Arabidopsis thaliana: one gene and its partner. The protein of the gene in region 1 purifies or fractionates together with the protein of each later gene. This does not show direct contact. Each region holds a gene or a part of one and is shown in the gene's direction. Other genes may lie near its edges.

Region 1 (5,907 bases):
AAGAAATGTTTGTCATGATAATTAGAGCTTATTGTGATTAAACAATGAAATGTGAATGATTGGGATTTTGACAAGTCTTCAATCTAACAGATTGTCACGAACAGGTTGTGGTCACATTAAGTTAAGAGTAATGCTTCCTTAGATCAGTCTTACTTACTACAATGGCGACTAATAGTCATATAGGCTGCTCAACAACCTTAGCACGTTCTTGCTGCTGCAAAGCCTCAAATTCCCCTCCTCTTTTATCCTGTATCTGCTTGATTGATTCTTAGAAAACTCTGTGTTTTATTTTTGAATATGTGTATCAGTAGGTATCTAGGTAATACAGAATGTCAAGTTTGTATGTTTTTTTTTTCCGGAAATAACTTACCTCTTCTCTGTTCTGTTCATGTTGAATCTTTGTTCTCGGTCTCACGATTATGCTCTGCAGTTTTACGCAGATTCTCACTCATAATTTCCATAGAGCCATACTCTTTCAGTATTGTGTGATCTTGTTCTGTAACCAGATCAGCTGTTGATTGGTCTCAGAGATCTGCCTCAGCTACTTAACAACCATTTCTTGGTAAGATTTCATCTCAAATTCCAGCCTCGTTTGGCCTAATGAGTAATACATAAATACATATGATGCATTCACAAGAACCAAAAAAACTCTAAATCCCATTGAAAGGACTAGAAATGTTAATGATGGGTTAAAACCCACTCGGTACCCAAAACCCACATAAAATTTTAAGCCCATAGATCTATTTTTTCTGGAAAAAAAAACATAGGTTTAAAATGGGCTGGGTACCCAAATAAATAAAACCCATATGGGTTTACCTCATTGGGTAATGGGTACCCACGGGTTTTTTTCAGTCCTTTTTCAGGTGAATCAACATTTTCTCGTCAAAAAAGATTTCACATTTTTCCGTCAAAACCGCGATTTAACATTTACCGCCAAAAAAGACATTCAATATTTTCCCGCTAAAAAAGACATTCAACATTTTTCCGCCAAAAACGACAATCAACATTTTCCCGCCAAAACGCAATTCAACATTTTCCCGCCAAAAACGACATTCAATATTTTCCCGCCAAAACGCAATTCAACATTTTCCCGCCAAAAACGACATTCAATATTTTCCCGCCAAAACGCAATTCAACATTTTTCCGCCAAAAACGCGATTCAACATTTTCCACCAAAAATAATTTCACTTTTCCCGCTAAAAACGCAATTTAACATTTTCCCGCCAAAAACGGCATTCAACATTTTCCCGCCAAAAAGGATTTCACATTTTCCGGTCAAAAACGCAATTCAACATTTTTCCGCCAAAAACGCGATTCAACATTTTTCCGCTAAAAACACAATTCAACCTTTTTCCCATCAAATATATATGTAATACAGAAAATAAATATAATTTAAAATATATTTATAAGCAAATTATAGATACAACATACATATAATAGTATATTAGCAGTTAAAATAAACTCTAAGAAAATGACAAAAACCAAGTTGGGTACCCACGGGTAGTCTCAGAACAATCAGGTTTTTTCGGGCTTTACCCACTAAATCAAAAACCCATCTGGGTTTTGTAAAGTTGGGTTTTTGGTGGGCGGATTTATTTTGGGTTCAGGTCGGGCTGGGCTTTTTTACCCACCACAACATCTCTAGACAGGACTTAAAACAAATATCGAATATCTGAGGGAGAAGAACCTTGATGTTGTTCATTGAATGACTTAGAACATATACTGAATATCTGAGGTAGGGAACCTCGTGGCGCATGTTATTATTGTTTGGATGATTTGATTAATTCGGATTTCGATCATACCTATGTGTGTATAGAACCCTTGATTTTGAATTAATTAACAGAATTATGATATATGTCAAGAATAAATGATGTTAACTATTTTCATAAGTTGAATGCTTTACTTCAATTTGGAAATTAGAGAAAAGGCCCAAATATTTCAGCTGTAATAAGCCCATAATGAGGCCCAATAAGACACTAGAAAGGAGTTGAGTAATAACTAAGCGATTCTCTTCTCTCCGTCTGCTTCAATCCCCTTTTTTTTTTCGTTTCGTCGTTTGTTCGTTTTCTCTATCGCTCTCGTTCATCTACGCAATCTCTCTCACTAGGTGAGTTTCATATTCTTCTCTTTGATATTCTTGTGGTGAATTTCGTTTTAGATATGTACCGAATTGAAGTTCCCTCTGTTTTTTTTAATCAGATTCGGATCGATATCTCTCGTTTAACAGTTTTAGGTTTTCATTTGCTTATAGTTGTGCTTTTATGAAAAGTGAATTCCTCTTAGGGTTCGTCTATTAATTTGCTAATAAATCCTAATTCTTTGATTTATCCTCTTTTGAAACGGATTAGATGGTAAAGAATCGAAATTGATTTGAGAATGCATCAGATTTGTTTATATGAATAATTATTTACTGGGTTTCAATAAAGTTTTGAGCTTGAGCTTTTTGTCACCATTGTCAAGTAGAAAAACCCTAATTCTGGAGCTCTGTTACCAGTACCAGAGGCCTGAGTTTGGTAGTTTTCGAATTAGCTTGCTAGATAATATATGATTATTCGTTTGATAACTTATTGGCTGTTTATTGATGTTTCATGTCAGGTACAGTTTTAAATGGGTAAGAAGAAGTCAGACGAGAGTGCTGCTACCACAAAGGTGAAGCCAAGTGGGAAAGATGCTTCGAAAGATTCTAAAAAAGAGAAATTGTCAGTCTCGGCTATGCTTGCAGGCATGGATCAGAAAGATGATAAACCGAAGAAGGGCTCATCATCTAGAACCAAGGCTGCTCCGAAATCTACATCTTACACTGATGGCATAGATCTTCCTCCTTCTGATGAAGAAGACGACGGTGAATCTGATGAGGAAGAGAGACAGAAGGAAGCAAGGAGGAAGCTGAAGAGTGAACAAAGGCACCTTGAGATATCTGTGACTGATAAGGAACAAAAGAAGCGAGAGGCGAAAGAAAGATTAGCTCTTCAGGCTGCAGAGTCGGCAAAGAGGGAGGCTATGAAGGACGATCATGATGCATTCACGGTTGTTATTGGAAGCAAGACCTCAGTGCTTGAAGGAGACGACATGGCTGATGCAAATGTTAAGGATATTACCATAGAATCTTTTTCTGTATCTGCTCGAGGTAAAGAGCTTTTGAAGAATGCTTCTGTCAGGATTTCACATGGTAAAAGGTATGGGTTGATCGGGCCAAACGGAATGGGAAAGTCTACACTGTTAAAGCTTTTAGCTTGGAGGAAGATTCCAGTGCCAAAGAATATTGATGTTCTTCTTGTTGAGCAAGAGGTGGTTGGTGATGAAAAGAGTGCTCTGAATGCAGTTGTCTCTGCCAATGAAGAGTTGGTTAAGCTACGGGAAGAGGCTGAAGCTCTGCAGAAGTCGTCTTCTGGAGCTGATGGAGAAAATGTTGATGGTGAGGATGATGATGATACTGGAGAAAAGCTTGCTGAACTGTATGACAGGCTGCAGATTTTAGGGTCAGATGCTGCTGAAGCACAGGCATCCAAAATTCTTGCGGGGTTAGGTTTCACAAAAGATATGCAAGTGCGTGCGACTCAGTCCTTCAGTGGTGGCTGGAGGATGCGAATATCATTAGCTAGAGCTCTGTTCGTGCAACCTACCCTTTTGCTGTTAGATGAACCCACTAACCATCTTGACCTGAGAGCTGTTCTATGGTTAGAGGAGTATTTGTGTCGCTGGAAGAAGACACTAGTTGTTGTTTCACATGACCGGGACTTCCTCAACACAGTCTGCACGGAGATAATACATCTCCATGACCAAAATCTCCACTTCTACCGTGGTAATTTCGATGGTTTTGAAAGCGGATATGAGCAGCGTCGCAAGGAGATGAACAAAAAATTTGATGTCTACGACAAACAGATGAAAGCAGCGAAGAGGACTGGAAACCGGGGTCAACAGGAGAAGGTAAAGGACAGGGCCAAGTTTACTGCTGCAAAAGAAGCATCCAAGAGTAAGTCAAAGGGCAAGACAGTGGATGAAGAAGGCCCAGCACCAGAAGCTCCAAGGAAGTGGAGAGATTACAGTGTGGTGTTCCACTTCCCAGAACCAACTGAGCTCACTCCTCCTCTTCTGCAGTTAATTGAGGTTAGCTTCAGCTATCCCAACAGGCCAGATTTCAGACTCTCGAATGTTGATGTAGGTATCGATATGGGGACACGGGTTGCGATAGTTGGGCCTAACGGAGCAGGAAAGTCCACTCTATTAAATCTTCTTGCGGGAGATTTAGTTCCAACAGAGGGTGAAATGAGAAGAAGCCAGAAGCTGAGGATTGGCAGGTATTCTCAGCATTTTGTTGACCTTTTAACAATGGGGGAAACACCGGTTCAGTATCTCCTTCGTCTTCATCCTGACCAAGAGGGATTTAGCAAGCAAGAGGCAGTGCGAGCGAAGCTAGGCAAGTTTGGGCTACCAAGTCACAATCACTTATCTCCAATTGCGAAATTGTCTGGAGGACAAAAGGCTAGGGTTGTGTTCACCTCGATCTCAATGTCAAAACCACACATTTTGCTTCTGGACGAGCCTACAAATCACTTAGACATGCAGAGTATAGATGCCTTGGCGGATGCACTAGATGAGTTCACAGGTGGAGTTGTGTTGGTGAGTCACGACTCGAGACTCATATCACGTGTATGTGCGGAAGAGGAGAAGAGTCAAATTTGGGTTGTAGAAGACGGAACAGTGAATTTCTTCCCAGGCACATTTGAAGAGTACAAAGAAGATCTCCAAAGAGAAATCAAAGCAGAAGTTGATGAGTGAAGTTTTGTTGTTAGCTTCTAAGGTAAACTCAAACTCCTTTATGTTTTATAACAAACTCAAAAAGTTTTGGACAATTTTATTTTTAGCAATCGTGTTCTTTCATCATTTGTGCGTTAATTACATCATATATGACACTATATACATCAGTTTCTCCATATTACATATGTTCTGAGTGTAGGGTGTTGTGTTTTGGGGGAAGAAAACAAAAGACATGTGCAATTCTTTTTCAACAGTGTGTTTCCATTAGAGCCATAATAACCAGCAAATGCTTCTTTATATTTTTAGCTGTCTGAAATTTTGCTTAGTTTCTCTCGTTTATTATTTTTGGCTCTTTCTCTCTCTTTTGGTAGTTTTGGCTTTCTTTGGTTGATTGTGTTTACCATGCCTCTTCCTTTGTGTTTATTTTGATTAAGATAGTGAGTATCATATGATTGATTTAGGGTTCTAATCTTAAAGTAAGCTTGAGATTCAGAAATTGAGCTGAACGGGTAGAGATTTCGTGTTGATTTTCTGGACTTCACGAAATTAGGAATTTCAGGGATTACTTAGTTCTTTCGTGCTCTATTCTTAGCCATAGGGTCACCTAGATCAGCCATCAAATCTTTCACAGAGCTCAGGTCGTTTTGAACATGATAAATCAATGAGTCAGAGTTTGTGTATGGTTTAGAGTCAGAAGATGCATTTTCAGCAGTGTGATATCCTTGATTTCGTAACCTTGATATACATTGTTAGAAGAAATTTGTCTAAATGGCTTATCTTTTTCGCTTTCTCTGTTTTTAGCACACTCTGTTTCGTGCTTTTCTCTGATTGGTCTCTATTTTTGTGGCTGTCGTTAATCTTTTTATAATTATTTTGAAGTCAATTTAAATGAAAGCAAAAATGCAATAAAAATAAACAAACTCAAAAGAAAGATTGGTTTCTTCTACAAGGGATCAGAAGAAATCTTAAAAACAACAAAGAGGATATGATCATGATCCTTAAAATCATACCCTTACAACAAAAAACAATCAAAAGAGATTTTAATCCCATGTGTTTATTGATAATTAAGCTAATATTATATATTTAAGGATGGACAACACCAGCTTGTCCACTGGTTTCTCCTTGAGTTTGCTTAGTACGATCATATTG
Region 2 (6,076 bases), on another chromosome or scaffold:
GATATGTATGCTTGCTCTAGCATACTCACATCTTGTGCCTCACTTCATGCTTTGGGATTTGGAACACAAGTTCATGCTTACACTATCAAAGCCAATCTTGGCAATGATAGCTATGTGACTAACAGCTTGATTGACATGTATGCGAAATGTGACTGTTTGACCGATGCCAGAAAAGTTTTTGATATTTTCGCTGCTGCTGATGTGGTTTTATTCAATGCAATGATTGAAGGTTACTCGAGACTTGGGACACAATGGGAACTACATGAAGCATTGAACATCTTTCGTGACATGAGGTTCAGATTGATTCGACCTAGCCTATTGACTTTTGTTAGCCTTCTACGTGCATCTGCTTCTTTAACAAGCTTGGGACTGAGTAAACAAATCCATGGATTGATGTTCAAATATGGGTTAAACTTAGATATATTTGCTGGAAGCGCTTTGATTGATGTTTACTCAAATTGCTACTGCCTCAAGGATTCCAGGCTTGTGTTTGATGAAATGAAAGTGAAAGATCTTGTTATCTGGAATTCTATGTTTGCAGGTTATGTTCAACAATCAGAGAACGAAGAAGCTCTCAACCTGTTTCTGGAATTACAGTTATCAAGAGAAAGACCTGACGAATTCACGTTTGCCAACATGGTTACAGCAGCTGGCAACCTAGCAAGTGTTCAATTGGGTCAAGAGTTCCATTGCCAGCTTCTGAAAAGAGGCTTGGAATGTAATCCGTATATTACAAATGCTCTACTAGATATGTACGCCAAATGTGGTAGTCCCGAAGACGCTCATAAGGCTTTTGATTCAGCAGCTTCAAGAGATGTAGTTTGTTGGAATTCTGTCATCTCATCTTATGCGAATCATGGAGAAGGCAAAAAGGCTCTTCAGATGCTTGAAAAAATGATGAGTGAGGGAATAGAGCCTAACTACATCACCTTTGTTGGAGTTCTATCAGCGTGTAGCCATGCTGGTCTTGTAGAAGATGGACTTAAGCAATTTGAGTTAATGCTTCGATTTGGAATTGAACCTGAAACTGAGCACTATGTTTGTATGGTATCTCTTTTAGGCCGTGCTGGTAGATTGAACAAAGCAAGGGAGTTAATTGAGAAAATGCCGACAAAACCAGCTGCTATAGTATGGAGGAGCTTGCTGAGTGGATGCGCAAAGGCCGGTAACGTCGAGTTAGCTGAACATGCTGCTGAAATGGCTATTTTGTCTGATCCCAAGGACAGTGGATCGTTTACTATGCTTTCTAATATTTACGCGTCCAAGGGTATGTGGACTGAAGCTAAGAAGGTGAGAGAAAGAATGAAGGTTGAAGGTGTGGTGAAAGAACCTGGACGTAGTTGGATTGGGATTAATAAGGAGGTTCATATATTTTTGTCTAAGGATAAATCTCACTGCAAGGCTAATCAAATTTATGAAGTGTTAGACGACTTACTTGTGCAGATCAGAGGAGTTAGTTAATAACTACCATACAAGAACTCATTTTCTATTGGAGTGATGGACTCTATTTGGTTAAAGACCAATGCAGCAGATGAAGCTTAAAAGCGAGCCAAAGAAGAAAGAATAAGCCATGGTTAATATCGAGAAGCTGAAGGGGTAGCTAGCTCAGGAGAGCAAAGATGTTGCTATTAAGTTTTGTAATCAAGGGAAAATCGATTCTGTTCCGTTCAAATCCGAAGGAAGACTCAAAAATTAACCCCGGTTCAGTTCTCAGTTTCTTCTCATCATCTCCTAAAACCGGGTTGAGAGAGAAGTTGTAATGGTGAATGCATGAATGGTATGTTGTACATGATTCATTTGAATTTAGTTAAACCGTTTTTGAAATCAACTAAAACCGAAAAACACCAATTCAAAACAAAACAAAACAAAAATTCAGAACAGGGTTTATTGTATATAACCAAACTAAATTCTCATTCTGTTGTAAATTTTATTAAACCGGAAAACCAAATCGGACATATATGGGCCTAAAATGTTGTTGGGTCAGGCCGAATTCTAGACAGTTCTGTTCTAGTTTTTTCTCCTTTGTCGTAATCAGGTGGACGAAACGAAAACCCTCGGGATTCCTCTGCTTCTGTCTCGTCCGTCGTCGTCAATTTCTCTGCATCAGAGATTCCGGTGTCCTTCTTCCTTTCACTCGCGTATAACCTCTTTTCCTTGACGTTGTCTCCGTGAGCTCTCTGTGCTTTGACTGCAACCATGTCGACTATTATGCAGAAGATCAAAGAAATTGAAGATGAGGTAATTATTCAATCCTCTCTGATTCTTCACCTCTTCTCTTCAATTTTGGATGCATAGAACTGTGAATCCGAAATATCTATTCTGAATCAAAGAAATGATTTTTCAATCTGGGTGACTCACAAGTACGAGGTTTTTTTTGTTTATGTGGCAGATGGCTAAAACACAGAAGAATAAAGCTACTTCTCATCATCTGGGTTTGTTAAAGGTACATTTTTTCTCCTCTTTAGGTCGTTTTTTGTAGCTTTGAGAGTGAGGTTGATTGGTTGAGGTGTTTTTGCTTATCAAATGCAAATTTGGTTGATTGGTTTATATCTGTTTTGATACTTGATAAAAGCTATCATGAAATCCCAACCAGTAAGCAAGCTCATTAAGAAATATTTTAACTTCTGGTTGAAATCGTTTATGTTTTATACGAACTCCCAAATCATTGAATAAGCACAAAGCTGAGATATTTTATTTACGGCATGATCTCTTGTGAAGTTCCTTGGATCAAACAACTACTAGGCAGGCATTATATATTATTCTGTATTGATTTTAGAATTTGGTACTTATTCCTGCACCATTAGCTTCTCGTCATATTTCACTGGTCCATTTTGCAGGCCAAGCTTGCTAAGCTTCGGAGGGACCTTCTTGCACCGCCTACCAAAGGTGGCGGTGGTGGTGCTGGAGAAGGTTTTGATGTGACTAAAAGTGGAGATTCTAGAGTTGGACTGGTCGGATTTCCTTCGGTTGGAAAATCTACGCTATTAAACAAGCTGACTGGGACATTTTCCGAGGTTTGTAGTTATCGTTACGAATATTGAACTTCCTTTCTCTTGTTGTAATTGGAATTTTGAAACCTACCACGTATCCATGGCATCCTATTTCTAGTTACTTTTTGACCAACTTCCTGTGCAATATCACTTATAAGGCAAGACTGTTCGGCGCTAGTCTTTTCCTGGATAGATGAACATAAATCTTGGAATTAGAACTGTATTTTGGCTGATACTCAATTTTCTGAAGGTACATACTGTGATACACAATGTTTTCTCAGGTTGCTTCTTATGAGTTCACGACTTTGACATGCATTCCTGGTGTTATCACATATCGTGGAGCTAAAATCCAGGTATGGTATCTACATCTATGCGTCTGTGTTAATCTGTTATTTGTGGGGGAAAAATGATAATTCTTGGATAGTGTTTCCTCTGTCTTGGTAATTGTTGAAACACAATGAAATCCTTGGCTACATATGCCATGTCCTAGCTTGTAATTATCTTTTCTCGAGTCTTACTTCTATATTAAACATGTATCTTGCTTGATCTTTTAATGACTTCTTGGTACTTAGTTTAAGTCAGGAAACGACCTGTAATTATTCATTGGACACTGATGCTAATACTCTTTTTTATGTCCCCTTCTATGTGTTTGCAGTTATTAGATCTTCCTGGTATTATTGAGGGTGCTAAAGATGGAAAAGGTAGAGGAAGACAGGTAAGTCGAGTCTAAATCTCTTGAGTATTTTATATTTTGACCCTCTTTGATCATCTTTCACACTTTACTATTTCCAGGTTATAAGTACGGCTAGGACATGCAACTGCATCTTAATAGTTCTTGATGCCATAAAACCAATTACTCACAAGCGTCTCATTGAAAAAGAGCTCGAAGGATTCGGAATAAGGTATAGATTGTTTATATAACAACCTTTATACACTGTATATTTGATCGTTTCTGGTAGATAGTCTGACTCGATCATGGACTGTTGCTATGTAGGTTGAACAAGGAGCCACCAAATTTAACATTTAGGAAAAAAGACAAAGGTGGTATCAATCTAACTTCTACAGTCGCTGTCACACACCTTGACCTTGACACCGTCAAGGCGATTTGCGGTGAGTACAGGATGCACAATGCTGACATCACCCTGCGCTACGATGCAACCGCTGATGACCTCATTGATGTCATCGAGGGCAGTCGGATTTATATGCCCTGTATCTATGCTGTCAACAAGATCGATTCAATCACACTTGAGGAACTTGAAATTTTGGACAAACTTCCTCATTACTGTCCTGTCAGGTAAATGTTGTTAAATTACCGGCAGGATTTGCGATAAACTTGTTTACTTTTGCCATTAAGATATAAATTTATTTATCTTGCAGTGCGCATCTGGAGTGGAATCTTGATGGACTTCTGGACAAGATATGGGAATACTTGGATCTAACTCGAATCTACACAAAACCAAAGGCAATGAATCCGGATTATGATGATCCCGTAATCTTATCATCCAAGAAGAGAACAGTAGAGGACTTCTGCATCCGGATTCACAAAGACATGCTTAAACAATTCAAGTAGTAAGTAATTAAAATCCTTAACATTTTTCTTTTCTCTGTTATATGGTTCTTGCTCAAAAGCATCGCTCATGAATACTTAACTAATGATCTCCTGATACAGCGCTCTGGTTTGGGGTTCAAGTGCCAAACACAAGCCACAAAGAGTTGGAAAGGTTAGTTCTTCTAGCAAATCAAACAAAAGTTAATCTGGTAAATCGATATTGCAATATCCCTGACTAACTAACTATTGCTGTCTCGACATCGTATTTTATACTTCAGGAACACGAGCTTGAGGACGAGGATGTTGTTCAGATCGTTAAAAAGATATGATTTTTGCAGATAATGGAGAGCAGTCAAGAGACCAACCAAAGTAGCCATAATGAGATCTCCTATAGGAAGGTCAGGATTTCTTTTGGTTTCTCAGCTTTATCTTTCTTTTGTAATTGTATTATTATATCCAGACGAAATCTGTGTCTACACCCTTTTTTATGTCTTATTAGATACTTTTGTCTTCTTCCAATAATACTATTAAGCATGTGATTGATGTTGTCGGAACACCTCCTATTATCTCCAGTATGGGTTTGCCTAGATTTTCTCCTCCCTTGTTTTTATGTATGCAACTAGACTTTTTTGGATTTTATTTACTAAACATATGATTCAGTTTTTCTTCATGTAATAAAGAAAAACTGTTAAAACGGCCTTCATTGCACTGACCAGGTCGAGGTGTTATTATTTCTGACAGTTAGTTGTTACTTGGACTGTTGATTAAATTTAATGACATTAATAGATTTGGAAAACTATTACAACGACCTTCGTTGCAGTGTCTGGGACCGTGAATTCTGATGCACTTCTCGATTTGTCTATCCTCTTAAAGTTGGTTTGTCATTTAGTGTCTGAAATTGTAAGATTATGGACCCTTCTTTACAAGTCCTCCACCAATTCTGTCTCATCCATTTGTGTGGTTAGTAGCTTCACCAGCTTAACACTTTCACTAATCTTAATTCTTAAGATATGAAAAGCAGTTGAATGAATGCATTGGTAATTTCTTTCTTTTTTAATAAATTTTCTTTTTGTTGGTTGCTAATTTATATATGTAATAATCTTACTCTATATAAACAAGTTCCTTCAACACACAAAAGGAACCACCACCATATTGTGTCTGTAAACCAAGCTCCTAACTCTCTCATATGGCTTCTGTAAGCTTACTTGACGTTGCCATAGCCATCATTTGCCTTTTCTTCTTCTATTACATGTACTTCAAGAAACCTCATGGTCAGGTTTTTCGAAACTGGCCAGTTATTGGGATGCTTCCAGGCTTCCTGATGGTTCTCCACCGCATCTACAACTTCGGCGTGGAGGCTCTTGAAATGAGCCACTTAACCTTTCTATTTAAGGGACCGTGGTTCGCTGAAATGGATATGTTGTTCACAGTTGATCCAGCTAATATTCACTACATATTGAGCTCAAACTTCTCCAACTATACCAAAGGTGCCGACTTTAAAGAAGTCTTTGATGTTTTTGGAGAAATGATCTTTAGT

The links.
Region 2: the proteins of ABCF4 (region 1) and AT4G39520 fractionate together in Arabidopsis thaliana (co-fractionation; one large-scale study listed by BioGRID). This does not show direct contact.

What each region holds. Positions count from the first base shown.
Region 1 is NC_003074.8:20,187,786-20,193,692, forward strand, and holds ABCF4 (general control non-repressible 4), read left to right. Parts: upstream 1-2,008; 5' UTR 2,009-2,107; intron 2,108-2,595; 5' UTR 2,596-2,607; coding exon 2,608-4,779; 3' UTR 4,780-5,155; downstream 5,156-5,907. Other genes in the region: AT3G54550 (DNA-directed RNA polymerase subunit beta-beta protein, putative (DUF506)), read right to left, coding at 5,842-5,907.
Region 2 is NC_003075.7:18,370,121-18,376,196, reverse strand, and holds AT4G39520 (GTP-binding protein-like protein), read left to right. Parts: upstream 1-1,957; 5' UTR 1,958-2,196; coding exon 2,197-2,238; intron 2,239-2,389; coding exon 2,390-2,443; intron 2,444-2,837; coding exon 2,838-3,014; intron 3,015-3,271; coding exon 3,272-3,343; intron 3,344-3,645; coding exon 3,646-3,705; intron 3,706-3,782; coding exon 3,783-3,892; intron 3,893-3,984; coding exon 3,985-4,284; intron 4,285-4,367; coding exon 4,368-4,559; intron 4,560-4,659; coding exon 4,660-4,711; intron 4,712-4,817; coding exon 4,818-4,868; 3' UTR 4,869-5,332; downstream 5,333-6,076. Other genes in the region: AT4G39530 (Tetratricopeptide repeat (TPR)-like superfamily protein), read left to right, coding at 1-1,461; CYP96A12 (cytochrome P450, family 96, subfamily A, polypeptide 12), read left to right, coding at 5,726-6,076. UniProt on the Arabidopsis thaliana protein: Binds GDP and GTP, and has low GTPase activity in vitro.